7 separate regions of the Mus musculus genome follow, and regions 2, 3, 4, 5, 6 and 7 are each reported to be linked to region 1. Evidence: microRNA targets listed by miRTarBase, many of them from high-throughput screens and not tested one by one. Region 1 holds a microRNA gene; each other region holds the end of a gene's coding sequence.

What was found. The annotated mature microRNA mmu-miR-466n-5p reads GUGUGUGCGUACAUGUACAUGU and lies in region 1 at 2,010-2,031, opposite strand. An mRNA with a match to its seed (bases 2 to 7 or 8) in the 3' UTR can be bound and repressed. Matches are read on the target gene's strand: a 7mer-m8 pairs with bases 2 to 8, a 7mer-A1 pairs with bases 2 to 7 and ends in A, and an 8mer does both.
Region 2: miRTarBase lists Tmem47 as a target of mmu-miR-466n-5p. Seed matches in the 3' UTR shown: 7mer-m8 at 1,077-1,083, 7mer-A1 at 1,086-1,092, 7mer-A1 at 1,118-1,124 and 8mer at 2,394-2,401.
Region 3: miRTarBase lists Oxsm as a target of mmu-miR-466n-5p. Seed matches in the 3' UTR shown: 7mer-m8 at 2,975-2,981 and 7mer-m8 at 2,041-2,047.
Region 4: the mRNA of Havcr2 is a reported target of mmu-miR-466n-5p. Seed matches in the 3' UTR shown: 7mer-m8 at 2,406-2,412.
Region 5: miRTarBase lists Rhobtb1 as a target of mmu-miR-466n-5p. Seed matches in the 3' UTR shown: 7mer-m8 at 2,239-2,245 and 7mer-A1 at 2,258-2,264.
Region 6: miRTarBase lists Ptpre as a target of mmu-miR-466n-5p. Seed matches in the 3' UTR shown: 7mer-m8 at 2,035-2,041 and 7mer-m8 at 2,120-2,126.
Region 7: the mRNA of Mbnl3 is a reported target of mmu-miR-466n-5p. The part of its 3' UTR that is shown has no 7-base or 8-base seed match.

Annotation. Positions count from the first base shown.
Region 1 is chr2:10,511,558-10,515,789 of GRCm38, reverse strand. Mir466n (microRNA 466n) reads right to left here and starts at 2,049; the gene lies at 1,956-2,049. All of the region lies in intron 10 of Sfmbt2 (Scm-like with four mbt domains 2), which reads right to left. It overlaps Mir669m-1 (microRNA 669m-1), which reads right to left and starts at 3,000; the gene lies at 2,903-3,000. It overlaps Mir669m-2 (microRNA 669m-2), which reads right to left and starts at 2,356; the gene lies at 2,259-2,356. It also overlaps Mir669o, Mir466g, Mir466h, Mir297b and Mir466d.
Region 2 is chrX:81,093,584-81,097,815 of GRCm38, forward strand. It overlaps Tmem47 (transmembrane protein 47), which reads left to right. Exons shown (of 3, transcript NM_138751.2): 3 at 869-4,232. The coding sequence ends at 1,047. Among named protein-coding and RNA genes, the nearest start is that of Tmem47, 25 kb to the left of the region's middle.
Region 3 is chr14:16,237,470-16,241,701 of GRCm38, forward strand. It overlaps Oxsm (3-oxoacyl-ACP synthase, mitochondrial), which reads right to left. Exons shown (of 3, transcript NM_001359883.1): 3 at 1,183-3,601. The coding sequence ends at 3,199. Among named protein-coding and RNA genes, the nearest start is that of Oxsm, 3.7 kb to the right of the region's middle.
Region 4 is chr11:46,478,521-46,482,752 of GRCm38, reverse strand. Havcr2 (hepatitis A virus cellular receptor 2) reads right to left here. Exons shown (of 7, transcript NM_134250.2): 7 at 1,498-3,466. The coding sequence ends at 3,307. Among named protein-coding and RNA genes, the nearest start is that of Havcr2, 26 kb to the right of the region's middle.
Region 5 is chr10:69,288,800-69,293,031 of GRCm38, forward strand. Rhobtb1 (Rho-related BTB domain containing 1) reads left to right here. Exons shown (of 11, transcript NM_001252637.1): 10 at 151-256; 11 at 721-2,992. The coding sequence ends at 890. Among named protein-coding and RNA genes, the nearest start is that of Gm40685, 21 kb to the right of the region's middle.
Region 6 is chr7:135,682,277-135,686,508 of GRCm38, forward strand. It overlaps Ptpre (protein tyrosine phosphatase, receptor type, E), which reads left to right. Exons shown (of 21, transcript NM_011212.3): 21 at 956-4,018. The coding sequence ends at 1,030. Among named protein-coding and RNA genes, the nearest start is that of Mki67, 32 kb to the right of the region's middle.
Region 7 is chrX:51,117,807-51,122,038 of GRCm38, forward strand. It overlaps Mbnl3 (muscleblind like splicing factor 3), which reads right to left. Exons shown (of 8, transcript NM_134163.5): 8 at 1-3,212. The coding sequence ends at 3,201. Among named protein-coding and RNA genes, the nearest start is that of Mbnl3, 86 kb to the right of the region's middle.

The DNA of each region.
Region 1 (4,232 bases):
GAAGCTGATCCTGGACTCATGAATTTGAGAATGAATTTCCACTCCTGATCCTCCTGACTCTGGCAAGCATTTTCACCTTGTGAGTGAGAGCACCCACTGATCCAGCCCTGCATAATCTCTAAAACTTTAAGTCACATGTCATTTAAAAGTATCAATGAGTGCCATTCGGGGTATGTGTGTGTGTGTGTGTGTGTGTGTGTGTATGTGTGTGTGTGTGTGTGTGTGTGTGTGTGTGTGCCTGTGTGTATGTGTTTGTGTGTATTTATATGTATATTCATATGCACACATACATTAGCACACAAAACTATGCAACATGAACATACACTGGGAAGGAACCCATAAAGCCAGGCTGATCTCTAAGCCATTTTGAAGTTATTCATAAATTTGAACTCCTAATCCTTCTGAATATGGGAAGCTTTTTCACATTGTGAGTAAAAAGTTTCATTAGCCCAATACTACATAATCTTTAAAGCTCTATGTCACACATCATTCAAATGTATCAATGAATGCCATTCCATGTTTGTGTGCTTGCATTTACATGTATGTTTATGGTATGTATATTTATATACACACATGTGCATACACAGGGACGTAAACACACATGCACATACACGGGTGGCATCACATGAATACCAGGATGATGTCCAGCTGAAGTTAAGCATGAATTTGAACTCCCGACCCTGCTCAATCTGTAATATGTTTGCACATGGCGAGTGAGACCGTTCACTGTCCCACTACTGCATAATCTCTAAAAGAATAAGTCACATAGCATTCAAATTAATGGATGAATTCAATTCCTCTGTGTGTGAGAGTGTATGTGCTTGCATTTGTGTGTGTGTGTGCGTGCGTATGATATATATATTCACATACACACAAGCACATGCACACACAAATATACACACATGGACATACATGGCTGAGAATCACATGAATCACAGGCTGATCTTAAAATCATCATGAAGTTAAGCATGAATTTGAACTCCTAAAACTCCTGATTCCAGCATACATTTTGACCTGGAGAGTGAGATCACGCACTGTCCCAGAACTGCATAATCTCTAAAACTCTAAGTGACATATCATTCAAATGGATCGATGAGTGTCATTTGTGTGTGTGTGTGTGTGCCGCATGTGTGTGCATGTGTCTGTATATGCAAAATCATATACATACATCCACATGCACACACACGAAAACACACATCGACATAAATGGGTGGCATCACATGAATGATCTATAACTGAAGTTAAGCATGAATTTGAAATCCTGATTAACCTGACTCTGTCAATCATTTACACCTGGTGAGTGAAACCATTCACTGTCCCCTATTGCATAATCTCTAAAACTCTTAAGTCAGTTATCATTCAAATGGATTGATGAGTGTCATTCTTGTGTCTGTGTGTGTGTGCTTGTGTTTATACGTGTGTGTGTATGTTATGTATATTCAAATACACACATAAACATGCACACACAACTATACACACATGCACATGCATGGAGGAATCACAGGCTGATCTCTCATGAGGATAAGTATGAATTTGAACTCGGGATACTCTTAACTCTAGCAAGGATTTTCACCTAGAGAATGAGAGCACTCACTGGCCAAGTACTGCATAATCTCTAATATGCTAAGTGACATATCATTCAAATGGATCAATGAGTGGCATTCGTGTGTGTGTGTGTGCTGCATGTGTCTGTACATGTATACTCATATATATACATTCACATGCACACACCTGTAAACACACATGCACATACACGGGTGGCATCACATGAATACCAGGATGATGTCCAGCTGAAGTTAAGCATGAATTTGAACTCCTGATCTTCTTGAATCTGCAAATTGTTTACACATGATGAGTGCGACCATTCATTACCCACTACTACATAATCTATAAGACTGTAAATCACATATCCTCTGTGTGTGTGTGTGTGTGTGTGCACGCACGCGCATGCAAGCGCACATGCACGTGTGTCTATGTATGCTCTCATGTATATGCATATTCATATACACACATGTACATGTACGCACACACAAACACACATGCACATACACAGGAGCCATCACATGAATGCCAGGCTGATCTCCAACTCATCATGCAACCAACATGAATTTACACTCTTGATCATCCTGAATCTGGCAAGGGTCTTTACCTTGTGAGTGAGAGCATTCATTGGCCCAGCACGGCATACTCTCTAAAACTCACATGTCACATGTCACATGTCACTCAAAATGATCTATGGGTGCCATTTCTGTGTGTGTGTATATCTGTGCATGCTTGTATATGTTTGTGTGGATGTATATGTATATTCATATACACACATGCACATGCACACAAAACTATACACACATGCAAATATATTGTGGGGAACCCCATAAAATCAGGCTGATCTCTACTCTCTTTTGAATTTATTTATGAATATGAATTCCTGACCCCTCTGAATATGGCAAGCTTTTACATAGTGAGAAAAACTTTCATTTGACCAGTACTACATAACCTTTAAAGCTCAAAATCACATATCATTCAAACATATCAATGAATTCCATTCCTTGTGTGTATGTGTGCATACGTGTGTCCATATACATGTATGTTTATGTTATATATATATATATATATATATATATATATATATATATATGTATATATATATATATATATATATATTCATTTACACAGATGTACACGCACACACATGTAAACACACATGCACATACATGGGTGGCATCACAGGAATACCAGGATAATCTCTAACTGAAGTTAATCATGAATTTGAAATCCTGATTCTCCAGACTTTGTCAATCATTTACAGCTGGTGACTGAGACCATTCACTGTCCCACTACTGCAGTCTCTAAAACTCTAAGTCACCTATCATTCAAATGGATCGATGAGTGCCATTCCTGTGTGTGTATCTGTGCTTGCTTGTATATGTTTGTGTGGATGTATATGTCTATTCATATACACACATGCACATGCACACAAAACTATACACACATGCACATACATTGGGGAGGATCCCATGAAGCCAGGCTGATCTGTACACCATTTTGAAGTTACTCATGAATTTGAACTCCTGATCCATCTGAATATGAAAAACATTTTACTGGTAAGTAAGAAGTTTCATTGGCCAAGTACTACATAATTGCTAAAGCTCTAAGTCACATATCTTTCAAACATATAAATGAATGCAATTTTTTCTCTGTGTGTGTGTGTGTGTGCTTGCATATACACATGTGTTTATGTTATGTATATTCATGTCAACACATGCACATGCACATACAAGTAAACACACATGCACATACATGGGTGGCATCACATGAATACCAGGATGATCTCTAACTGAATTAAGCATGAATTTGAAATCTTTATCCTCCTGACTTTGTCAATCTTTTACACCTGGTGGGTGAGACCATTCAATGTCCCCTATTGCATAATCTCTAAAACTCTACATGACTTATCATTCAAAGGGATTGGCGAATGCCATTCCTGTATCTGTGTATGTGTGCTTGCGTTTATACGTGTGTGTGTATGTTATGTATATTCAAATATAGACATGAACATGCACACACAACTATACACACATGCACATACATGGAGGAATCACATAAATCACAGGCTGATCTCTAAATTCTCATGAGGATAAGTATGAATTTGAACTCCTGATACTCTTAACTCTAGTAAGCATTTTCACTCTAAGTCACTTATCATTCAAATGGATTGATGAGTGCCATCCCTGTGTGTGTGTGTGCGTGCGTATCTATGTGTGCGTGTATGTATATGTATATTCATATACACACATGTACATGTACGCACACACAAACACACATGCACATACACAGGGGCCATCACATGAATGACAGGCTGATCTCTACCTCATCACGCAGTTAACATGAATTTGCACTCCTGATCACCCTGACTCTGGCAAGGGGCGTCACATGGTGAGTGTGACCTCTCCCTGGCCCAGTCATACAGAATCTCTAAGACTCTAAGACACATATCATTCAATAGAACAATGAGTATCCATTTTCTGTGTGTTTGTATGCATGTTTGTATGGGTATGTGTGTATGTATATGTATATTCATATACACATGTTCATGCACACATACATATACACACAAGCAAATAGATTGGGGGCATCACATGAATCCGAAGTTGATCCCAGACTCATCATGAAGTTGAGAATGAATTTTGACTGCTCATCCTCCTGACTCTGGCAAGCATTTTTACCTTTTGACT
Region 2 (4,232 bases), not on the chromosome of region 1:
TTGTTTTCTTTTATTAAATATGACTCATTATAGTTCTCTTTCATTCCTGAGTTAGAACTAAGAGCCAACTAAGAATTAAGATCTAAAGTTTGTCTCTGCTATAGTAGTCTTCTTGTCCTATCTTTTTTTCTTTTTTTGGATCTATATTCCTCATTCCTTAATTAATTCTTTTTTGAGTACCTGTGGGAAATATATGTACATGCAAATAAGTATAAGATATACTAAAAGGATAGAATTAGTTGTGGCTTTGTGGCAAAGATGACTTTTGAGTCTCTTTAAGATGAATGGTGTGGACTGTGTGAGAAGAAAAAGTGAAAGTAGTTTCTTATTAGAGTAATAGGAAAAAAGACATTAAGATTAGTCTTTCTAGAATATTGGCTGAGTCAGATGATTGTGAACATCTATTAAGTAATAGGTTGCTATAGGTTGCTCAGCTTTATCACTAAAATGTTGAATTCTTCAGTTCCTTAAATTCAAAAATAAATAATGAGGGCTTAAGTCTGCATGGAGGCCACTCTTATTAACTCTATAGATATTATATGAAATACTTTAGTGTAAATAGTACTGTCATTAGTGATAATTGTACATGTGTTTGCAGAGCAAGAATCACTTTGTATATTCATGAATTAATTTTTTAATAATTTCATTTTTGCTAATAGCAACTACAAGTCATTAACAGAGCAATGATTACAGTATTGTGACAGTACCTAAGTAAATAAAGCTGTTAATATTTTAAAAGATAATATTTGGAATTAGAAGTGCTTTAATTTTTTGGCTTATACTTATTTCATTAAAAATTAACTCACTGTTTTGCTGTTTTATTTGCTATAAATAACATCATAATTTTGTTTGCTTTCTTTTTTTCCAGTTGTTTTGCAGGTCTGCAGCCTGGTTCTTTATCCAATCAAGTTCATTGAAACTGTGAGCTTGAAAATTTACCACGAGTTCAATTGGGGTTATGGCCTGGCCTGGGGTGCAACTATATTTTCATTTGGGGGTGCCATTCTTTATTGCCTGAACCCTAAGAACTATGAAGACTACTACTAAAATCAAGTCTGAAAAACAAACACACATATGCACACACACACACAAAACATACACTACACACACCACATTACACACAAACACACACACACACACACACACACACACACCACATGAAAAAGAGAAACTAACCATCCAACAAAAGATTTGTGTTGACATCTTTTCTAACACTATTTTCTAAAACACTTGTGGAGCCTCAAGCAGTTTGCTCAGTTGATTTAATATCCTTGCCTTTGGGTGTCAACATCATAACCAGCTTTTATATCCATTTTAGGGACCTGCACAAATTAAGAATGCTGATTAGATATAGGCATATGCTGCAAACTTCCAATATGCTTATGCCATTTCTCTTGACATGTGAAGGATCTGTATGACAGCAACCATTTTGAGAAGCTAGTTGGAATGAGAATTGCCAGAGTCTCTTTTTGCCTGCAGGGAAACAGCTGCATAAGCAACATGTAAAAGTTCCATTGCTCTGACATTTCTACTGTTGGAGCCCTTATCACCTGTTTATATTGCGCAGTGGCTATATTGGTTATTGGTTACTTTGCTTTGGAATTTGAAACTGCCATTTGGGCATCTAATGAGAATCATAGATATAGCCATTTAATTCTACCTTTAAGGCTGTTCTTTTTAATAGCAAATTATACTTTACCAATTATCATCTCTTGGGAAGGAAGTCAACGTTTGGAGACATGTGTTTTTCATTATGTAGTTATAAAATTGAGGGTGTCTGCTTTCCCCTGGGGCAATCAGAAAGAAATGTGCATGAGTTGCTTTTGTACCCTTAAAATCCTTTAAAAATTTTGCAGCAAACAATTGTCCATATGTAACAAGCTTATTCTTCTACACCACAAGCCATTACCATACTGGTAATAAGTTGCTCATTAATAGTCCACATACATGTACCTATCATTCATATAATCAATACTTGCTCTAGTGAAGCAATTTGAACACTAACCTTGTATGCATCAACAGACTCAGTATTCACAGTTACTTACCATACAAAAGTTCATATACCTTAAAGCTTTTGCTCTGTGTTCTCTACTGATTCATTGGAAAGTATTAATAGAATTGCCTAAGAAGTAAAATTGAAATGTTGTTAATCTGAAATTTAATGATTCTTTTATAAGTATTGTAGTTCAAAAGAGAGTAGGAATTAGAATGATCACTTTGTGTAAAATTCATTAAAATACAAGGCTGCTATTTTTGCAAGTATTTTAAATGTCTTCATTTTAAAATAAAGGAATAGTGATAGATTTCTATAAATGTCTAAAAGTCTCAGTAGATGAGTAGTATTCCGTTGTTACCTGGTCCTCTGAAGTTAAATGATGGGCTAACTGATTTGTGCACACAAGTGTGATGAATTTATGTTAGGGAAATTATTCACTGACTATTCCAAGGGAAGAAAACATCAACAATAAGGAATAAGTTTGCAATTGATCTTTACTGCAAACTTGTGTTAATTCTGTTTATTATACAAATCTGGATAGTTTAAGTATAAGCCTATTTTTATATAAAATATACAATTCTGATAGGAAAGTTATAAATGATTATTTTTGTTAACAAAGACATTAAAGCAAGTTTTCTCTCATTTGACCCTCTTGAAGACAGAAACATTGGGGAAGAAAACATTAAAAATGTATCTATTTACTAATATATTATACAATTCACTAAGAAAAAGACTGTGTCAATAGCATTTAATAATTTGCTTTACCTCCCAGAGCAGATTTCTGCTTTCAGCTTATCTTAAGAATGGTTGCCAAGAACAACTGTCTTTCCCTGACCTGAAAAATGTTTTATTCAAATGTCAAAATAAATTGTGAATTTCCTATGGAATCAAAGTAAATATAAATACCTTATTCATTCTTATTTTAGTGGTGATAGACAAACATTATTAAATGCATCTTAGAGATCAAACTTTATGAAAATGTATGATTCTATCAAGAATCATAAGGAACTGAATGGAAAATTTCCAGAAAGGGATTAGTATTATAGACTATTTTGAAGCCGCTTTCTTAAAATCAAAATCTGGGATAGGTTCTCTTATAAACTTCATTGCATATTGGGAGAACAGAATAAGAAATGTGATATTTGGATAGGGATTTCAGCTACAGACCACAGCCTCTTGTGAGAGGACCTCTTTATTCTTGAATGAATAAGAGGCGATGAAAACTTTGCAGCAGGCATCAGTGAGGCTTGTTGAAGGATACAGTGTGCAGTTAGACCAATATCAAGAATATGATAGAGCTTCCATTCTCTGTCCACATGGCAAGCCAAAAAGTGATAGGCTATGTTACAGGTTGAAGCACAGATATTTGTAATCTACTGAAAAATAGATTCTTTCTGTAATTTTCTCCCTTCCCAATTAACGAGCCCTAAGCTACATTTTTACCATATTTGGAACTTTTTCATTACTAAGAAAGCTTAGTACAGTGGGGAAATCCTTTTTTTCTTGTCCTAAGTAATGTGTCTATCTGAATAAACACAAGTGATAATTTCAGCTATAGTAGCATCATTTCTTCTAGCTTTAGGTTGGATTGGTGTTTTCTTAAACAGAGTTGTTAGTCATGAACCCATCCATGGTTACCTTAGAGAGATGATATACACACAGAGAAACCCTAACATTATTCAGCAGGGCTAGCTATTCAGATTTCTTGCACAAGTATTTAGCTTTTTGTAAGGTCAACATGTAAATTTTAAAGACAAATATAGAGAGACTTATGTGTTTGAAATATAAATGATATATATGGATAAGCATGTACCTGTATATTATTAAACATGCAGTGAACTGACTGGTAAGTGATTGTCTAATTGTATGGCTAGCAATGTAATTTATTCAGACTGTATTTTTGTACAGAGCAGCGCACACTAACCTATGCCTCTGTGTCCTCCTTAATGCCTAAAACTGTGCCTAGAAATTTCATCTGTCTTAAAGAAAATAAAATATATTCCATGCTGTTTTATGATAATAGTTTCTTTCCTGCTATTCTGTATTTATTATTTTTAAATATCTGACATGTTTACTACTTAAATATGAGTTTATGTTATCCTGTTCTTTTCTTTTCTTTTCTCTTCTTTTCTTTTCTTTTCACTTAGAAGTCATCTGGGGAAATCTGTTTGTCACTCCAGTGATGCTTGAGTGTGCAGTCCCATTATCTGTTCTTCATTTAATGATTTTTGTAGTT
Region 3 (4,232 bases), not on the chromosome of region 1:
TTCAGTCCCTCATAGAAAACGAGAGAGTAGAGTGGAAATGCGGCAAGCTATAAACTCTCAAAGCCCACTCCCAGTGGCATGCTTCCTCCAGCAAGGCTATCCCTCCTAAAGGTTTCATAGCTCAACAGCACCACCAGCTGGAGACCAGGTGTCCAAATACATAGGCCTATGAGGTACATTTCTCATTTAACCACCGCTCTTTGGTAGCCTCAAAGTGAAATATATACATACATGGCCTGGCTTTTGGTTAGTAGTCTAGGAAGCATGGACTGGAACAAGAGAGAAATATTTCAATTAGGGGCATATGAGTGGACTTGTAAGAACCATATTAAGAGTGAAGCCTTATGGGCCACATGTATACTCACTCCCCAGAAGCACCTGCATAGCACAGATGCAAATGGCTGCCAATTTACATTAACAAGTCTTAGTCACTAGCTATTCCAAAGCACACACAAGATGCATCTGGCTAACAAAAGTGGCAGAAATGGATCTAACAATATCCACGGGTTACTTGCATAGCTTGTGGAAGTCCCTCAAGTCTGCATTCTAGTGTCTTATGACACATACACAAGGCAGAACCTCAGAACTGTCACACAGGTTCAGTATCTGTGACCAACGAACACTTAAAAAGAACTGAATAGGCAGGGTCTCAAACTGAAGTGTTTGTAACCACATGCTCAAATTACAGGCAGGCAACGGTTGCCTGGTATGTACATGGATACTGGGAATCTAAACTCTGGCCCCCACACTTATGTGTGAAACAGATGACTAACACCAATGGCTCACATTGCTCAGGAATAAAATCTTGGGTTTTGCCACCTGGGAGACCACCAAGACCTACCAAGATGATGGTCGAGGTGACTGACATTACCATCTAGGGTTGTTGTTGTTTTTTTTTTTAATTTTTTTTTTTAAATTTTTCGAGGCAGGGTTTCTCTGTGTAGCCCTGGCTGTCCTGGAACTCACTTTGTAGACCAGGCTGGCCTCGAACTCAGAAATCTGCCTGCCTCTGCCTCCCAAGTGCTGGGATTAAAGGCGTGCACCACCACACCTGGCCATCTAGGGGTTTTGATTGGTTTCATTTTCTCTGCCAGTTAAAGAATCAAAAGGAAAACTGCTGTGCATGATGTATAGCAGAAGGGAGAATCTCAAACACAGCTGGCAGAATCAGCTGATGAAGACTTTTTTTGTTGTTTATCTTACAACATTTTTATTTTCATTTATATTATTGTACCAAAAATAAAAATTTCATTCACCAACCATGAATTACACATTAAAAACAATTTCTTCCTTTTAAAGTACATTTTTGAGTTCATACAATATTGTTACATTCAAATAGTGAATTTTAAAATTAATAATTTTTCTTTCCCAGCTTTGTTTCCCCTTAACTGTGTGACCACAGCTTGAAAAGAATCACACTGTCTAGATTTCATTCCCATTCTGATATAGTCTACTTAGTGCTTTTCAATCATTTTACAGGCAACAGTTTTGAAAGGAGATATAATTGTTGACAATGTTTAAATGACATTTACCGTAGGGAGAGGCTCACCATTGTATGTGCTGATTGCATTATTAGCTAGTGCTCTTCCCAAGGATGCATGTACAGTATACACAACAATCCTCTCATTGTTTTTGCCTTTTTTTTAGCTCTTTTTTTAATTAGGTATTTTCTTCATTTACATTTCCAATGCTATCCCAAAAGTCCCCCATACCCTCCTCCCCCACTCCCCTACCCACCCACTCCCACTTCTTGGCCTTAGCATTCCCCCATACTGAGGCATATAAAGTTTGCACGACCAAGGGGCCTTTCTTTCCCAATGATGGCTGACTAGGCCATCTTCTGCTCCTCAGGGAAAACACTCATACACATTATTTTTTTAAAAAAACTAAAACAAGAACAAAAAGTTTTAAGTAAAATGTGAGACTGCTCCCCATTCTGCAGAAAGGCACATAGGCATATAGCCATTTATCTCCTTTTTTACTATCTCCCTTTCTCTCACACTGTGTGTGTGTGTGTGTGTGTGTGTGTGTGTGTGTGTGTGTGTGCCACTAAGAAAGCAGAGGCCAAAAGGCAGTTTGTCATGGAATTGGAATAAAAATCATTAAACAGTACAAGGACAGAAAGCCATTAAAGGTGTTACTGAGCCCAGGAAATGTAGGCACTTGACTGAAGCTCCATATCATTGTGGACCTGCATAGACATGAAAACACTTACTCAGAAGAGATAAAAGCCCTGCCTACCAAATGCTTTCCTGGATGGCTGTCACCTCTGAAGAACTTGCTACCCTAGTAGTAGGAAGCTTGGAGAACATTGTCACAGTCACAAAGTTAGAAGTTAGAGAGGAGCTGGCCTAACTTAACAAGAGTTTTTTCCAAAGATCTTTATGTCCATTCACCACATCACAAACATATCTAGAATGAGAAAAGCCAAACCAGCCAGGCTATGCTGGTGTACACCTTTAATTGCAGCACTTAGGAGGCAGAGGCAGGCAAATCCCTATAGAGATCAAGGTCAGCCAGGGTCTATAGAGTGAGTTCCAAGACAGCTAGGGTTACCTGAGTAACCATGTCTCAAAGAAGGCGAAAAAAAGATGACGAAGAAAGGAAGGAAAGAAAGGAAGGAAGGAAGGGAGGGAGGTCGGTCAAGAACAGGCAAGAAAAAGGAAATCCTGTTTTACTTCCTCCTTCAGAGAACTGAAATCTTGGGAGCTTGGGGAAATTCCACCAAGGACACTACATGGGTCAGGGGTGAATCACTGGCTGACAGCTGTCCTAAAGGGATGCTGAGTGGTGATACAAATAGGAGTACTTGTATTGTAGTCCTGTTTATATGCTGTACAACAGTGGTGACCCTAGAGTTAGTTACACCATGGAGCAGCACAGCCTTGCTCAGAGAAGCTGGTCTCTAAATAAATATCTGAAAAGGACCATGATGGATGAAATCGTGCACTAGAAAAACATAAATCAATGGTTCTGTGTGCAGGTTATTCTGTCCTCCATAGACATTTCTGGTTGTCACTAGTTGCCACTGAAATCTCAATGGAGACACCAAGATGCTATAAAATAACAAGTACTGGGCACCCTGTTCCCTACCAAAGAACTATACAAATACCAATTGTGCTAAAGTCATTGGATATTGATATAAGACATATCTACATATATAATATTTATAAATTTATGACCATTAAAAGCCAGTGTTTACATGCCAGCAATACAAAGAGTTGCATTAGTACCACCAAACCCAAAGGAATTGGTGAGTCCAATACACCGACCCTCAGCTTTCCATTCCTGTGACTCCAGTGGAACATAATTGAGATCAAATTCAGGCTCTGTACAATCCAGGTTTAAAGTTGGTGGGAGTTTCTGGTGGTAACAAGCCAGTGCAGTAAAAGTTGCCTCAACTGCCCCTGCAGCACCCAGAAGATGCCCAGTGGCTCCCTTTGTGGAGGATATGGCAAGGGCACAAGCATGGTCCCTAAAGAGCCTCTTGATGGCTCTGTTCTCAGCGGCATCACCCAGTGGTGTGGAAGTGGCATGTGCGTTGACATAGGATATCTGCTCAGGTGATACGCCTGCATCTTTTACAGCAGCAGCCATGCATCTGGTAAGAGAAGAAAATTATCAAATAAAGTTTAATAACAGGAGATTGTTCATCTGAGTAGCTTGTATAAGATCAGTGTCACAGCAAAGACCCTATGATCCACAAAGCTAAAAGTAGCTAGTTTTTGTCCCTTTATAGGAAAGCCTGCTAAACTTCTGGCTGATTTAATTGGATAAAACATAATACAGTTTAAGCTTAGATGGCATCATATAATCAAGGACTTTTTTTCAAAGTGTGGTCTTTAGACTGGAGCTAGTTAGAAATGTAGAGTCTTAAGCATCAATCTAGATCCGCAGTCAGAACTGGCATGTTAACAAGACTCCTGGGTGATTCAGGGCTAAGAAATGCTGCTTTGAAAAGATTTGAAAAGAACAGAATATACCTAGACACATCTATCTCTATTCTCCAGGTCTGATAAGTGTTCAGAGGGAGGCTGAGGAAGGGAGCACACTCATGATTTCCAAACAGAAGGTGGGGTATAAGAAGCTAGCAAAGACACAACTCTATTGGCTCTAACTAAAGTCCATTCAATTTTTGTTTAAATATTTTCAAATGTTTTCAATCATTTCAAGCAAAGAATTTTTAAAAAGCCTTTGATCTAAGAGAATATATACTATACACCAAGACCAGG
Region 4 (4,232 bases), not on the chromosome of region 1:
TGTAGCCATGTGAAAGACACCCAGCTTGTTACACCGATGCTGGGCTCTAAACTCCCGTCTTCATAACTGTAAAACATTGCTGAGCCACCTTGCCAGCCTTTGATTTCTTGCTTTTTGAGGGTTTCATTCTTTTTTTTGTTTTGTTTTGTTCTGTTTTGTTTTGAAATTGGGTCTCATGCATCTCAGAAAGCTCTAACCTTTCTATAAGCTTTGAATTCTTTAGCTTTTTTTTTTTTTTGGTTTTTCGAGACAGGGTTTCTCTATATTGCCCTGGCTGTCCTGGAACTCACTCTGTAGACCAGGCTGGCCTCGAATTCAGAGATATGCCTGCCTCTGCCTCTCAAGTGCTGGGATTAAAGGCGTGCACCACCATGCCTGGCTGCTTTTTTAAATTTTTAACTCCGTGTATTGTTATTGTGTCTATACGTGATAAGTGTGTGAGCACAGGCTCAGGCAGTGTGAATGTAGAGGTCAGAGGTCAACTTTCAGGAGTCAGGTCTTTCACCATAGGGTCCAGGGATCAAACTAAGTTGCTGCACATCTGTGTGTAGTATATGTGCCTAAGCACTTACACAAAGACTAGAAGAGGGAATCATGTGTCGTCCTCTGTTTCTCTCTATCTCTATAAGGCAGGGTCTCTCCCTGAACACCAGCACATGAAAAGTCCCCATCCACGCTTTCCTCTTCAGGTCTTCCCTCTTCAATTAACATACTTAGGATAGGTCTTCCCGCCTCAATTAACCCAATTTAGAAAGTACCTCACAGGCACAGCCAGAGATTCATCTCTAAGGATTCATCTTGACCCTGTCAAGTTAGCAATCAATATAAATTATCACACCATATAATCAACCATTCTCTTGTTTCTCTGCTAGGCTGGAAGCCAGGAAGCCCAGTCATCCCCAGTCATCCTGCTCTCTGACCCTCTCCGCCAAAGTGACAGGCCTGCAATAGATTCCAGCCTTGTTACATAGGCGCTGAGTTCCAAACTACAGTCCTCGAAATGGCACAACACTCCCTCTGAACAGCTGAGCCATCTCTCCACCCTCTCATTTTGAAGCCTTTAAGCTACCTCTTTACCATTTCCTGGTCCCTTATACTACCTCATTTTTCCTGTGCCACCCACCAACTCCATCCCAAATACTTGATTTTAAGTGACCCCAAGTCTAAAACAAGGGTTCTAGTTCCAGGTTACTGCCTCCTTCTGGTGTCCTTGACCTGACCCACTTTCTTTGATGGGGACAGGACACAAGAAAATGTTTAGTGGATCTTCCCACTTCACTTAACCTAATCTAGAAAATGCCTCACAGACCCAGGCAGAGATCGACCTCCAAGTTGATTTTATATCTGCCAAGTTATAAATCTTATATAAACTGTAACACCGTGTAACCAACCATCCCCCTACTGATGTAAACACCACAGCAGTGACCATCTTTATATACATGCCCTTGCTTAAAGACTGTCAGATAAGGACATCCTTGAATAAAACCATTGATCTGGTTTAAATATGCTCAAAGTACTTTGCCAGTACAGTTTTATTACTTTAAAACATTTGAGATTAGTTTTCCCTTCTGCATGAGAGCTGTTATCTCTAATGGATTTTGTTAGATGGTCTCCCTTCCATACCCACCTAAGAAAGCCAGGACCTCCACAGCTAGCTAGAAGCAACCTAAACAACAAAATTCATACATGAAAAAACGGTACCACAGGTTTTGGTGTCCTCACTAACAGATGTCCTCTGATGTACACAGTTGCTCCCCAATGCAAAAAAATCTTTGAACAAAGCTACCTTTCTGCTCACTTAATATTTTCACTCGGGGTCTATTTAATTTGATTCTGTTATAGATGGGAGCCAGCACAGATCAAGGGCACTGGGCAGGCAGCTGTAAGCCAGATGAAACTGAGGTCCACCGGCTTGGAAATCAATTTGGTGACGACTGTCCTCCCAAAGAATATTTTGCTGACTATATAGATTGCTGCAAGAGCTCTGCCTTCGTATGTCCCAGTCACCGGTTGTTCTTCTGTCAGAAACAGCTCCAGTTTCCTCCAGGAATGGAGAAGTTGTCTGAGTCAGTTCCCCTTGAGCACACAACAGTCAAAGTTTGCCTTTCGCAGGGTTTCCTTTTACAGACAGCAGGCTGCTTGCGGGTAACCTTTTTCTTCTGTAAGAAGAGTCTGGCAGTGTTGGGCACAGTGCTCCTGAACTCTCCACGCTTCTGCTCCAGCCTTCTGAGTGCTGGAATTAATTACTGGACTGCTCTGCCATGCTCCCACTCATGTCTTAACAGAGGCAGAGGAGAGTCCTGTAGAGATACATGTTATAGAGAGGTAGCAGGCACAGAGAGAACCTTCATTTCATGTGTGTGTGTGTGTGTGTGTGTGTGTGTGTGTGTGTGTGTGTGTGTGTGTGTGTGCAGGTTCATGTGCATGTCTCTTCTGAGAGCAGAGGACAACCCCCATGGACATTCGCCAGATACTCAGTCCATCTTACTTTGAGACAGGGACTCTTGTGGACTTGGAACTCAGCACCTAGGCTAAGCTGACTGCACGCAAGCCCCGGGGATCTGTTGTGCCTTTACCTCTCCATCTCTTGAGTCTACAAGCATGCTCTACCAGGCCTAGCTTTTTCATGTGGGGTCTACGATCAAATATAGATTCCTCGTGCTTGTACAAAATGCACCTCACTGTCCGAGCCTCATCTCCAGCCTCCTGCTGTCTCTATGTTTATTTTCGTCTTTGGATTTTGAGACAGTCTTACCAGCATAGCCCTGGCTGACCTTGAACTTATCACCCTCCTGCCTAAGGTTCCCAAGTTATATAGTGTTAAGCATATGCCACCTGGCTTTTTCTTAATCTTTCAAGGTCAGAAATCTCTAGAAAAGCTACCAACTTCTTTAGATTTTCAACATCAACAAAGAACCTCACCTTCCTATCTTAGCCCTTTATTCCCCCTACCTGTTCAGGAGCTTTGCAGATATACCACAAACCTCTATGTCTCAAAGACATCACACTAACCATTCCTAATGTATGAAAGCACGAGTGAGCTTCAACACGCATGATTGAAGTCTCTGGAGTGGGAGATCCGATCCCTGAAACTCAGGGATAAAATGGAGCATTTCAATGTAGCATGAGTTACAGTCGAATCCCCTTGTGAGTTAATTATCCCCAGAAAACTGGAACTCTTTTCTCAGTGGCTGTGGTCAGAACCTCCAATGAGGTTGCCAAGTGACATATCACATAGTTTTCAAAAAGGGAAATACCAAAGTCAGAAATGAAGGCGAGCCTTTAAAAGTGGCAGTCCAGAGGCGGTCAGGATGGCTGCTGGCTGTTGACGTAGCAGTAGTACTCATTTGAATTCTCCACTTCATATACGTTCTCCTCGATGGTGTAGATATTTTCCTCAGAGCGAATCCTGACTGCTCCTGCATTTGCCAACCCTCCTGGAGGCAAGTTGGCCAGTGTAATAAGGCTGTAACAATCAAATGATGAAGTTGATAGAAGAATTTCCCAGACAACAGGGAATAGAATTCAAAGCATATACTTCACTAAGGACAGCAGCTAGTTGACATTCATGGCCCTTCACTACATGCTCACTGAAAGAAACCCAGACAGGAATTTGTGGAACAATTAAGGACATGTAATTGGATCTTAATTGTCTTAGGTATGAATGCCATAGGTCCCAACTCTGAGGAGGCAGAGGCCAAAGTGTTTGGGATGTGTCAAAATGTATCCAACATAGTTACAAGCGGTTGAGAGAAAGCCCTGTGCTTACTGAGAATTAGACAAGACAGATGTTCCGAGTGTCAAGTAGGAGGTGAAGATGAAGGGATTGAATGTCCCTTGAACTGTTATTTCAACCCTCTGTGTGCTCACCTTTTGAGTTTCAAAAGGAAACTGTGATTGTGTTATAGATTCAACACATTTGGGTAAACTCGTTTATTTGGTTTGGTTTTTTGTTTGTTTGTTTTATTTGTTTTGTTGTTGTTTGAGGTTAGTTGCTTGGTTGCTCATTTGGCTTGGGGTTTTGAATGGTTTTCAGCACTATATTTTATATTTATTATACAAACTATGGGTTTCACGATGAACTTTTCATGGCTGTCTATTTTACACTCTGACTGTATTCACACACCTCATTTTCGTCTCCTGTTCCCAGTCTTCCATCTGTTTTCACATCACTCATGTGCATGTGCACTGTTTAACTCACATCAGTTACACACCGTTCTGTGCATCTGTAG
Region 5 (4,232 bases), not on the chromosome of region 1:
CGGGTCCCTTCTACCTCCATGGGGGCCTGGATATCAAGCTCAGTTATCAGGCTTGGCCGCAAGCACCTTGACCTGCTGAGCCATAGCACTGGCCCATTGCCTCGCTTCAGCAAACAAGAGTCTGAGCCCAATCTGGTCCCCTTCCTGCAGTTTCACAATGCCAATCAGCTAGCTGCCTGGTGTTTGCATCACATCTGCACCAACTACAACAGCGTCTGTTCCAAGTTCCGCAAGGAAATCAAATCCAAGTCAGCAGGTAAGAGCATGTCTGCGAGCTCCCTGCCATCCATTGCTTGCCCTCTCTAGATAAACCCCTTGGGAGGGGCCAGACTCGGTGGTCAGTTCCCTTTGAGTGTGCGGAAGTCACACATTCAAGTGACGTGACCCAGAGAATTTTCGGTTAGGGGAATCTCTTTGCAGGATGTCTTACTTAGAGAAGAAGGGAGTGGAGTTGAGGGTACCCCACTGCAGAGCATGCCAACATAAGGCCTCCCCTCATTTAGGGGTACACAGCCAGGGTCTAACTCTGAATAAAAATCAAGTGGTTTTGGGTCTGTGTGCCTAGCATAGAGTCTACACATTAGACTTTAGTCTCAGCATCTGTGGGCAGCCATGCCAGCATGCTGGGAGGTTTACGAATGGCAAAAAGCAGGACTGAGCATCCAGGACAGTCTTCGGGCAGCAGGAATCACGGGCAGTCTCTTCCCCCTCTCCCCGCAGACAACCAGGAGTACTTTGAGCGGCACCGCTGGCCCCCTGTGTGGTACCTGAAGGAGGAAGACCACTACCAGCGTGTGAAGAGGGAACGAGAGAAAGAGGACCTGGCGCTGAACAAGCACCATTCAAGGAGAAAGTGGTGTTTCTGGCATTCGTCCCCAGCTGTCGCCTGAGGAGGAGAGAGGGGACCGTCACCCGCTAAGGGCCACCTCCACTGTTGACAGCTCTACTATAAAAACCAGTCTCCTTAGCCATCCGCACAGTTGGGTCTGGGGCCCTGGCTTTTCCACTCGTGTGCATTTACCTCCACCAGGATCAAAGCACAAGCCCTGCCACCAATGAGCAGGGACATAAAAGGAAAGCTGACTGACTCTGAAGTCCTTCAACCAGAATGTCCTTTTGGTTTTTTTCTTTCTTGGTTAGGAAGCTACTACACTTCAGTCCGTTACTTTGTTCCTTTTGATACAAAGAAAAAAAAACAAAATCCAGCTTTCGTGTCTCAGATTCCAGATTGGAGAATATTTTTCTATGGACTCTTGTATTTCACTGAGGTGACAATACTGTGTATTACTTTATTTTATAGGCCACACATTGACCACGAAGCTGCCCCCCCCCCCGTGACTCTTTCAGCCCACGTGACCACTGAGCATCACTCATAATTACAGAGTTATCCTTTCGTTGGGAGGTAAAGGGTTGAGCTGAAGAGGCCTGAAGTATTCAAGCTAGAAGCGCTTAATCTTTGCTCTGATGAGCCACGTTGGTATAATTATGTATTTACAGGATCTCCTTTTTAAGTGCTAGTAATTACATGGTTATCCGTGCCATATAGCTACAGTGAGGGCAAATATCCTACTGTTTAAGAGGTCTAGATTCAAAGAGGACAATCCTTACAATCATTACAAGGGCTTATTCCACCCCAATCCTATCAGGGGCATGACTGACTGCCGGACCCGGGTCCCTACAACGCCATTCGAGTCCTACCATTGGATAACTATGTCAGGGTTGGTGACTTAAAAGTGCTCTGTGGTTTTGCTGTGCCTTCACCAGCAAACCGTCCTAGGGCCTGAACAGAGATAAGGGAAAGGGAAAAGGCTCATCCCACTGTCTTCAGGTCAATCACCTCGGCCTCACACCTGAGGCCAACTTCACTTTGTAAGACAAGTTGTTGTTGTTGTTGTTGTTGTTGTTGTTGTTGTTCTTTTTGTTTTTTTAACTCTTCCCAGGGAAAATTCAGGTCACCACTAAAGTAGGCCAAGGCAGACCACCTGCTTCTCCACTCGGTCTCACCACAGAGCCTGTGAAAGCACAAAGCTAGGGGCCAGGTCCTGCCTTCTCCAAGCAGGGAAAGGAGCCAAATCCTAAGAGTGTGGGGAATGGTGCTATTATGTGGTAATTCTGACCCCGGGTCCCTTGGGAAGATCAGTGTTAGAACAGAACTTGCAAAGCAGGGGAGCTCTCAAGCGGCATCAACGTCATTGCCTCTCTGCAGATAAAATGTTACAGTATAATATACACGTGTGTGCACACACACACACACACACACACAATCATCAGAGAGTCACAGCTCCACACCTGCCACGGGATGTCGTGTGCTGGACACCGGGGCCCATTCTGTTGAGAGGTCACCTTACTGATGCTAAGGGCTATTGATTTTTGTTTGTTTGTTTGTTTGTTTGTTTTTGTTTGGGGGAGGGAGTTTCTGAAGACAGGAAAGAGTCAGTTGAGTCCAAATGCCATATGGATTTGAAAAGCTGTGTAGACCACAGGCAGGCGTTTTGTTTCTGGCATGGCCACATACCAGATACAAGAGCTTAGAAAGACCCAGGAAGGCATCACCCTCTTGTGGCAGAGAGGGAGCCGCAGGGGAAGGGGGGCGGGGAGGGGGACAGCTTATCAAGCCTTCCCCCTTAACTTTGTTAATAGGGCAAATGGCTGACGGAAAGAGAAGGTGGGTGGAAGGAAAGAGTACACGTCAAGACTTGAGGAGAAGGAACATATAGCCACCTAGAGGTTCTGTTTTCAGTGAGTAGGCCTAGTTGAACTTCAACAACCAAAGCTCCATCCGCTTGTACTCTTGCCAAAACACAACAGACACATACATGAACATGGGACGAAAGCAATAATATCCTCTCGTGTTCTTCACAGCTGCTGGAACCAAGTGGCTGGTTCATTTGGTTGACACTGATCCGCCTTTAACCACGATGGTTCGTTTTGTGTTTGTTTGTTTTTTTAATTTCACAGAAAGCAAATAAAATTGTTTAGCTATAAAAAAAAATGCCTCGACTTTTGTGTAAAATCCTCACATGTATTTTAATAGCATTTTGAAAGCTACCAGCCCCAAAGGTGTTGCACCCTTGGAGCCACCTGTTGAAACCAAATGGTGAATGACTGCCATTTGTGCTTAGCTATTTTCAGCAGAGATTCCCAACATGTAGATGGGGCATGTGCCCCTTGGCTCTTTCTTGAACAATACCATGGCTCACTTAGTCTTAAGGAATGGAGACCATGACATCTCCATTCTGTTGGAATGGTTGCAGTGGGAGGTTTGCAAATCCTCACACAATTAAATATAAAAGGTCTCTACTGGTAGGCCCATGAGGAAGTTCTTCAAATGCAAGTCTGAGAAAGACTCTGCAAGGCGCTATCTATAACAGCTAGATGTAAGGTTACCAGAGCTTCCATGGAAGCAAGGGCTTTCATGAGATCTTACGGAGGGGCTGAGTTCTTTGTAACTGCATGGGGAAAGAGTCGAACCTCGCTCAGACAAGCATAGGAGACAAGCAGTGAAATGCATCCAGCACCTCCCGTGCCAATACACAGCTCCACTCATGCGACTTTGCACGTAGGCACAGCAGTGCAGTCAGAACCTGCACACAGTTCTACTGTAAATTCTTCCTGGAAGCCTGAAACCCCTGCATGGGTCTTAGTACCTCTAGAGAAGCACCTTGGAGATTGGGGGGGGGGGGGCAGGGCACAGATCCTACTGGTTTAGAAGGAGCTGAAATACTCTTAGATGCCAGCAGTCAGCTTCAAAAGCTCAAAGATCCTAAAACTCCAAGTTCTCCAAATTCGGCTTTCTTGTCTCTTGACACTGGCTAAATTGTACCAGAGGGAAAGCAATCTGTCTCCCAAGTATGGGGATGTTGGTGCCATGTTTCTGAATGAATCCTTTGTAGCCCAAGACTCACAAGTCCTTCTCTTGAATTACTTCCTTAAGATGATAGATAGATAGATAGATAGATAGATAGATAGATAGATAGATAGATAGATAGGATAGGATAGGATAGATAGATAATAGATAGACAGACAGACACAATCAGATTCTGGTATGCAAGCAGCAGTAATATCTATCTCCGAAAGAATTTGACCATTGCCTAAAAGTTGTTGCCGAGGTGAAGGCTGGCCATAAAGAATACGTGTGTGCAGTGTGTGTGTGCATCTGTGAATGTAAGCAATCACAAAGCAACAAGAAGCAGAAGCAGCAGGCGCATAAACGGGTAGGAGCCATTAGCAAA
Region 6 (4,232 bases), not on the chromosome of region 1:
TTGACAGGTGGCCTGACGCATGTGCAAGGACAGGTGGGCTGTGGCTGTGACTATGGAAAGACTTCACGGGAACCTAAGACCTTTAGTCTTGTAAATCCTAATGGTGTCTATATTAATATGGAAGCATGTGATTTTCATCTGATTAACAGTTATAAATTAGGCAGTGTGAGCTTTATTCTTCAGTATTAGAACCCTGGTAGTTTCCTTTTCTCCACTTCAGAAATAGTTTCCATTCAGGTGTGGTGGTACATGCCTATAATCCCAATACTTGGGAGGTAGAGGCAGGAAGATCAAGAGTTTGAGGTCATCCTAGGCTACAGTAGGAAGTCAGGCTAGGATGAGCAACAAACATCTCTCTCTCTCTCTCTCTCTCTCTCTCTCCCTCTCACACACACACACACACACACACACACACACACTAATGGGCCCAATGGCATGTATTTGTGATCCTTCACCTGGGAAATAGAGACAGGCTTCCTGGAGCTCACAAGCAGCCAGCCTAACCTACTTGGCAATTTCTGGGCCAAGTGAGAGATGCTGTCTCCAAAAATCAAGCAGACAGTGCCTGAGGAAGGGCACCTGAGGTTACCCTCTGTCCTCCACATGCAAGCTAACACATGTGTACCTGCACACATACACACAAAAAAAAAATATTTTCCAATGTCAATATGAAAAGCAGAGTTGTTTTCCAAAGACCATACTGAAAACACACTAGTGTGAACCTAAAAATTGATGTTTTCTGCATGGACAAACAGCTTGGTTTAGAACATGGCTCATGCCTAAAAGGCCCGCTGTGTAACAGAAACTGATGTGTGGGAGGGAGCCCCGGACTTTGATGCATCAGCAGACTGACTGACAACTGGGCTTCTAGCTCATCTTCTGATTACATGCATCAGGTATGTGTGAAGCTGCTTAGTATTAATATATTACTAATATACTCTCATTCTCTTTTCAGGAGCAATATGAATTCTGCTACAAAGTGGTACAAGATTTTATCGATATATTTTCTGATTATGCTAATTTCAAATGAAGATTCCTGCCTTAAAATATTTTTTAATTTAATGGTCAGTATATTTTGTAAAAAAAAAAAAAGAGATCATGTTAATTTATTTCCTAGTGGATATTAATATCCTTCCTAATTCCTTTGTATATATTTTGTTATGTTCTAAAGGCTACCTGCTGTAAGGTTATTAAATTGTAAATGCCCTTTTTAAAAATTGGAATAACATGTTAAGGTCAAATACTATCTGGAAAGATATATATTTCTGCTAACACCAGTCAGTATCTTAGTTCTATTAGATTCATGTTATGTGGTGTCCCACATCAGGTGTCACATGGTGTCACACATCATGCATCTGTAAATGTAGTTCTTAACATGTCAAATGTGTTTGTGAGAAGACACTAACCCCTGAAACCCCCTGTGGAGAAACCAGTAGAGGACTCCGAGTCAGAGCACATTTACTCTCCCCACCAACTGTCGCACCCAGGGCATCGGAATGTGGCAAACAGTGTGCATGGGGGCTTTGGTAGAGTCCTGGGTCTCAGCCATGTGGTCCATCCTTGCATTTGAAAGATCAGAGTGGAAGCAGACACGGCAGTGCATCACTGCACTGCTAGCACGTGGGAGGCTGGGGCATAAGGATTTGGTCCAGGTCAGGCCAGGCCAGCTTGGGCTACAGTGAGACTCTGTAACACAACAAACAACAAACACCCAGAGGGTTTTGAAACCCAAATCCAGGTCTCAGATGTACAAGGTGTAGATGGTGGTGACTTTCCTATGAGTTTTAAAAGGCATTCATGAGAGGCTGTGTAGTGCCACTGTAGGCTTGATAAAGAGATGTGTTATACCAGGCCATCTATTCTCACAGGCCTCCAGTACCCTCCAAACTAGCCATCTGAGCTGTGTTCCTGGAACCACTTGCTGCCTGCCTGTGTGCCTGGCTCAGAATCCACTCAAGCTCATTCCCAACGGCCCGCCCACTGACACAGCTGCCTGTACTGACCCTAATTGGGCCTACAGGCTCAACCACAGCTGCACACACACACACACACACACACACACACGGTAGAATGGCCACAAACTGTTGCACTGTCAATTTGCTGATACTCAACCACAGCTGCACACACACACACACACACACACACACACACACACACACACACACACACACACACGGTAGAATGGCCACAAACTGTTGCACTGTCAATTTGCTGATAGCCATTTCAGGATGTCAGATTTTCTTTGTAAAAAGTTAAGATGGTTTGTAAGAAAGGAATTCTTAAAAATCTAGATTTGTACAGTTTTTTTCTTAAATGTCCCACCTCTTGGTGTTTAATTTTTAAAAATGAGAGGGGGGGAAGATCCTAATCTAACTTACCTTTGGAGGAAAGGCTGCTGAGACCTCTGAGTTCAGGTGGCAGTGACAGGCGCACTGCCTGAGAGGGTAGGTTAGGAGGAGGGAGAGGAGGAGGAGGAATGTAGAAACATTGACTTCAATAAAAATTATCTTCCTATGGCATTTAGATACCTAGCAAATGAGCACAATGTAAAAAAAAAAAAAAAAAGACATCTGGTCTAACTCATTGAAGGCTTTGAACACAGTTTGGGAACTTTTTTTTTAAACTTTTTAAAAGAGAAATGAAAATACAAAGGCCTTATCTCCATGGAGGACTGATCATGCTCGCCTATTGCACAGTTTGTTCTTGTTCGTGTACAAGGGACAACCCCAGGGTCTGTCACTGCTTCATACAGGTGAACGGGTCACCACGCTTATCTCAAGCCCCGCAGCTCTGAGTGTCCCATCCAGAGGCACAAGCTGGCACTCAGCATGCAGGATGAAAGCAGACAGTGGCCACTGTCACCACCACCACCAGCTGCAGGCAGGGCTGGCTGCCTGTGCTTTGTGGGAGCTCCCCTTCTCTGAGCAGCCTTGGAGCACAGGCAGAAGATGGAAGATGGAGGAGCTTTCCCTGGCCAGTGGTCTCATTTGTCTCCATCTTAGACCCAAGCTCAACGCCTTGCTGTAACTGAAGCGGGACAGAGGGCAGTAAGCCCACTAGAATTAAGGTGACCTCACATGGGTCCCAAGCCAAAGTTCGGCCACGCACCTTGGCACCCCAACTTAGTTACTGGTCCTTAGAATCCCAGGCATCTCTTGTATCAAGAAATGCCTTAGGGTAGATCTTTTCAGGATGTCTAGAAAAGTATTCTAATGAGTGTTTTTCCTCACCTTGGGGCTGCCCCAGGTTCTCCTGCAGGCAGAGACCCTGCCTGTTTCTAAACAGCTTGTCTCATTCCAGAGAAAAACAGAAGCCACGCTCCTGTGGGCACAGTTGGGGCAGCACTTGTACTTTGGAGGGGCCAATCCCTCTAGTCTCTTGACTAATGCCATAGCAAAATTCAGCCTCCGTAAGACACAGAGCCTCTGTGTACAAGGGGTCTCCTAGGGGGAGGAGGGCGGTCTCAGCATCTTCTCTGTGTACCTGGCATGTCCTTTTCTTCTTCCTTCAAAGAAGCTCCGGTGTTTATGACACCGACAACCTTCTTAGTTCTCTGTTGCATGCGGTTGTGCTCAACGCCAAACAGTCATCAGAGCTGAGCGTTCTGATCAGGTGCGTCTCTTGGTCACTGTGTGACTTGCTTTACTCTCTCTCCATGGGCTGGATGAACGAGGAATGCACACCTGTGTTTTCCAAGGTAGTTTTATGTGTTTTTAAAACCTTTTTAAATGAGCCTGATACCTGTGTTTCAGCATTTGGCCACGTTGTTGGTTTTTGTTTTTCATGTATATTTACTGATATATTTTTGTTTGTAACCAAGTCATGTTTAATTTATGTGCAATCTTTATAATATGTGTATGTGTTATGGTTCCAACTCTCATATATTATTCCTTGATCACATTTATCGTTTGATCTTGCTCTGATTATGCCAGTGTATGTCGCTGAATTCTTGAGACATGTGAACTGCAAGATTGAAAACATCCGGATTCGAGAATAAATCTCTGACTACCAGCCTGTACCTGTGCTTCTGTCTTCCCATTTAAGTGTGTGTGTGTGTGTGTGTGTGTGTGTGTGTGCACAGAAACATGTGGAGGCCATAGGACAATGGTGAGTGTCAGCTTTAGGAATACTGCCCACCCTCTTTAAGAAAGGGATTTTCACTGGTCCGCAGCTGACCAACTGGGCAAGGCTGGCCAGCCAGTGAGCACCAGAGATTTTCTTATCTGAACTCC
Region 7 (4,232 bases), not on the chromosome of region 1:
ATTTAAATAGCAGTTGTACGAATCCATTCAATTTCATTCTAGTTCCTACTCATTACGGTCTCATGGTTTTTTGCAAAAACTGAAACTAAGCTCTTCTTAAATGACAAATTTAGATTGCTTATTTGTAGGTTTGACACATTTTATCCAAGTTTCAGTGTTCTTGCAAATTTTGGCAAAAGGCTGAGATGGACAAAGCCAATAATTTTGGAGAAATAAAAATAGAGGCCATGGCAAAACACAAAAACTAAAAAATGCTAACTAGAAATCACATCTGATTAGAATTTGGTTTATATACAAATACTTGGGTAAATTTTCATTTAGAGTCACTGATTGGTTGTGACTGGTCTGGTTAACTCAATTTATAGTCAAATGACTTGTCTTTTCTTCAATAAGATCATTAGTCACTGCACAACTAGAGTGCCAGCTTAAAGTTTCATTTCCCTCAAAACTCCATCAAATTTGATCAAAATGTTCGAGTTTTGAGCTTGCTTTCTTAAGCTTCATGTACATTGCAACTTTTAAAATGCTAACACTTATATTAAACTCATCGCACCAAAAAGACAACTACCCTGAATGTTCCCCACTGAATCTCCTCCTAAATATAAGTCAACATTAATATCTTCCAGTGCTTAGAGCAACAAGAGAACAACTCTACTCTAAGTTTATCATCTACATATATCTTGATCAAAATTTTAAGAAGTTAAACCAGATAGTATGTTGCACCAAAGTGTCAAACTACAAAAAGTTTATTTTGCACAAAACATTTCCATATCCATTAATAACTACATCTAGACTAGCTCAGGTAGATTCTTCCTGGAATTGCGATGTTAGAAAACAGAAATATAGTGGTTCAAAGAGCCCACAGGTAAAAGGACAGACAACTCTCAATCTCTTAGCTCCAGGCAATAGTCAACAAAGGGCGGAGGTCCAATATAAAAACAAGAGTATTTAGCAATCACTGGTAACCAGGATTCACCTGGATAATTAAGATCAATGAGATACCATCCACCAGAGGTAGTTTTGCTTTTTTAAAATGCTGAGCCGATCTGATCTGCTTTGCATAGGAGTCTCAAATGTTCCAAAGAAAGATGTAAAGAGGGAGAGCAATTGGTTCCCACAATGGCTAGGCAGCCAGCCTGAGGCAAGTCACACAGTCTGGCTCTCTGTTTTACCAACCGTAGAAAAGGCAATAAAGTCTTTGCCAATGTCACTGTTTGGCAAATCAATCCAACTACCTGTCTTATGATATCCTGGACAGTCTCTCTTTCCTCCCGATTTTCATGAAGAAAAACAACTGTTATATGTACAAAAATTTGATTTTATGCTTTCTGGTGGGAGAATATATACTGAGTATAAAATATTCAATTTACTTAGGCTTTTGGAAAATACATTTCCTCCCTCTTATAACAATAGTAGTGCTAAGTAGAAGAAGTACACTATATGTCACAGAAATAGATGGATTACCATATTTGTAGCTTATTTCCTAAGTATTAGTTAAGAAGAATTCATATCACACCTCCATGGGGCTATTGCTATTCTCTATTAACCAAAGGATGTTAAAACTAATTTTGAAACACACACAAAGGCAAGTAAGTTCAGATGTGACAAAAATAGGTTTGGTTCTGAGACAAAACTGAACAAATCATCATCTCCCCCCCCCACAGCCAACCCTCTGATGTTAAAGTTTTGGCAGAGAAACCCTTGTCCATACAGTAGCACAAATGCTTGCTAATTCACTGCTGCCTTTACAAAAACTGGAAACTCAACTAAATTAAACTAAACCGAAAGACAACTTCGGAAACCTTTTCTAGTTCTTTTGCACATTCCCAGTCATTTTAAATCTCTCCCTGCCCCCATTCCTGCCATTTCTCTAAACCTGTACTCAGCCTCCTTCTGTGATCAATAGAAAAGATGGTCCATTTGGGGAGGCAAGGCCTCATTTGGAAACAATTTTCTTTCACCTGGCCTGACTTTTGCCAGACTGCATCTTACTTATTATTCAAAGAATAGTCAAAAGAGCACGAGCCATTTGCATTTGGAAAACAGCATTTGTGCAAAAGGTTACAATGCAAAGGGTTTACACACTTTCTTCCAGTACATAAAAACTGTCTCCACGCCCACATCTCTCTGCTTGATTTTCAGCCTGTGATTAGTATACCTTTAAAGTAGTTAGTACCAGTTTCTCAGCTGAAGATGACAAATGGCTCAAATTTAGACACTCAAGCTGAGAGATAGGATTCCTGTAACACAATAAATGTAATGGCTACTCTCCGTAATTTTTATACATGCTAAGAAATTTATTGGAATGTGAACACTTGATTCTCAAATTATTTAAGAGGAATGGTTTGAGGTTAACATTTGAACTTTCCTATCACATGTAGGGAAGTTTTTTTCTCTTTTAAAAATTTAGTATATTATTGACTATGCAAGGTCAGATCTACAGGTAAAATTCTATATATGAAGAGATTTTGTGCACACTCAGAAGTGAGGCCTCCGGAAACTTGCAGAAATGTTTTAAAGAGGGCATATTACCATGAACCTGTCACATTTTTCAGTCACATATAGTTCTGTTCACCACTTATGATGCTTTAATTGAAATCAAATATCACGTATAAACAAGAAAACACTATAGCATGAAAGAGCTAAGCAGAACCCAATTTAATACAATATACCAATGGAGGAAAATGGTGTGGGAAATATCAGTTACATTCTACATCAATCCTATAGACTATCTTGTAAACAAAACAGTAAGGTAACACTTCCAAAACAGAATTTATCCACCAAGAGTATACAGTAAGCCTACAGTACACTGTGGAAGTTCATTTATTATAAACCATTACTGGAAAGCAGTCACAACATTTTACAGTTATATTCAATATGGTAATTCATATCATATGGAAAATTCATGTAATATGGATCTGATAATTCATATACATGACAAACCTGTATGGTTGTATATTGTATGCTAATTCATATACAATGAATCCGTATAAGGTAACACATACTGGTTAATTTTCTATTTGCTTTAACATCTCCACAGATTTTTAAAATTTGAATTTGTCAACAGGTATATGCGCTTTAGTATATTGACTGCACCATGCTTATTGTCGTGTTGGTACAAGAAGACATACGAGAATACATATAGAAAGGCCACACGGAGTTTCTTGTTGAGAGATTCTGATACTCTGTAACTCTGCTGCTCAATATTTCAACTGAAATAGAAAACAAAACAAGAGTCAGTAAGAAATACTGAAGGGCTATTGAACAACGTGTCAGGAGACCTGACACAAGTTTTTATTCCACTTCTATATATGGACTAATAATCCAAGATATTCTTCACTCTGAATTTCAGACCCTCTGTGACAGTGGGCTAATTAAATCATTAAACAGACACACTGCTGGGATAGTCTATGGGAGGTTCCAATGGTGGGCCATTTTTAAGGTATTATCTATATAATGCCAAAATTTTTGCTCATCACCTAAATATTGGTTCATCTCATTCAAAAGAAACGTGCCTTCAAAATGTACTTAATACCAAACAGTTTGAAAAGTTCCAATAGTAAGCAGTGTTACACTTTTATCAAACGATCCTACACCTTTGTAGAAATATCCTGAGTAAGTCATACACTATTATACAAAGTGACAGGTTTGATCTTCGAAGAAAATCTCCACAACTGTCACATGTGAATATGATTATTCTCTGCCAAACACCTCATTTACCAAAGGAATCAAGTGGAAAAACAAATCATTCTTCCCAAACCTATTTTACGTAAAGCAATTACGTTCAATTTTCTTTGCCTTGATGTATAGCTCCCTTTGAGAACTTAGCAAGCACTGGACAAACCTCCATTGTCATGCTTTCCCAAGTTGCTGCTATTCCAAATAACACCTGCAAAATGATTCTAACTTCTAGCTCCTTCAGTTTTTCCACCTTGTTGGAAAACATTCCTTATGATTGGGGGAATCTGCTTATATAGGGTGCAATAGCTGTGGGCTTTGTCTGAAACAGTATCAGGGACCTCTTGATGGGAGATGGGTAACTAGGGCACAAGCAAGCCGATCAGCTGCCTCCTCCAACCAAATGCTAGACTGCAGGTGGGAGCCATTCAAGCTTACTTCATTGAGAACACAGTTCCAAACGGTTCACGTGTTTGTTAGCTGTCTAGGGTTCTTAGGTATATTCAACAGTGTTCCCCGTGAGTAACCCCTTGGATTTACGTGTGTGCTACTAA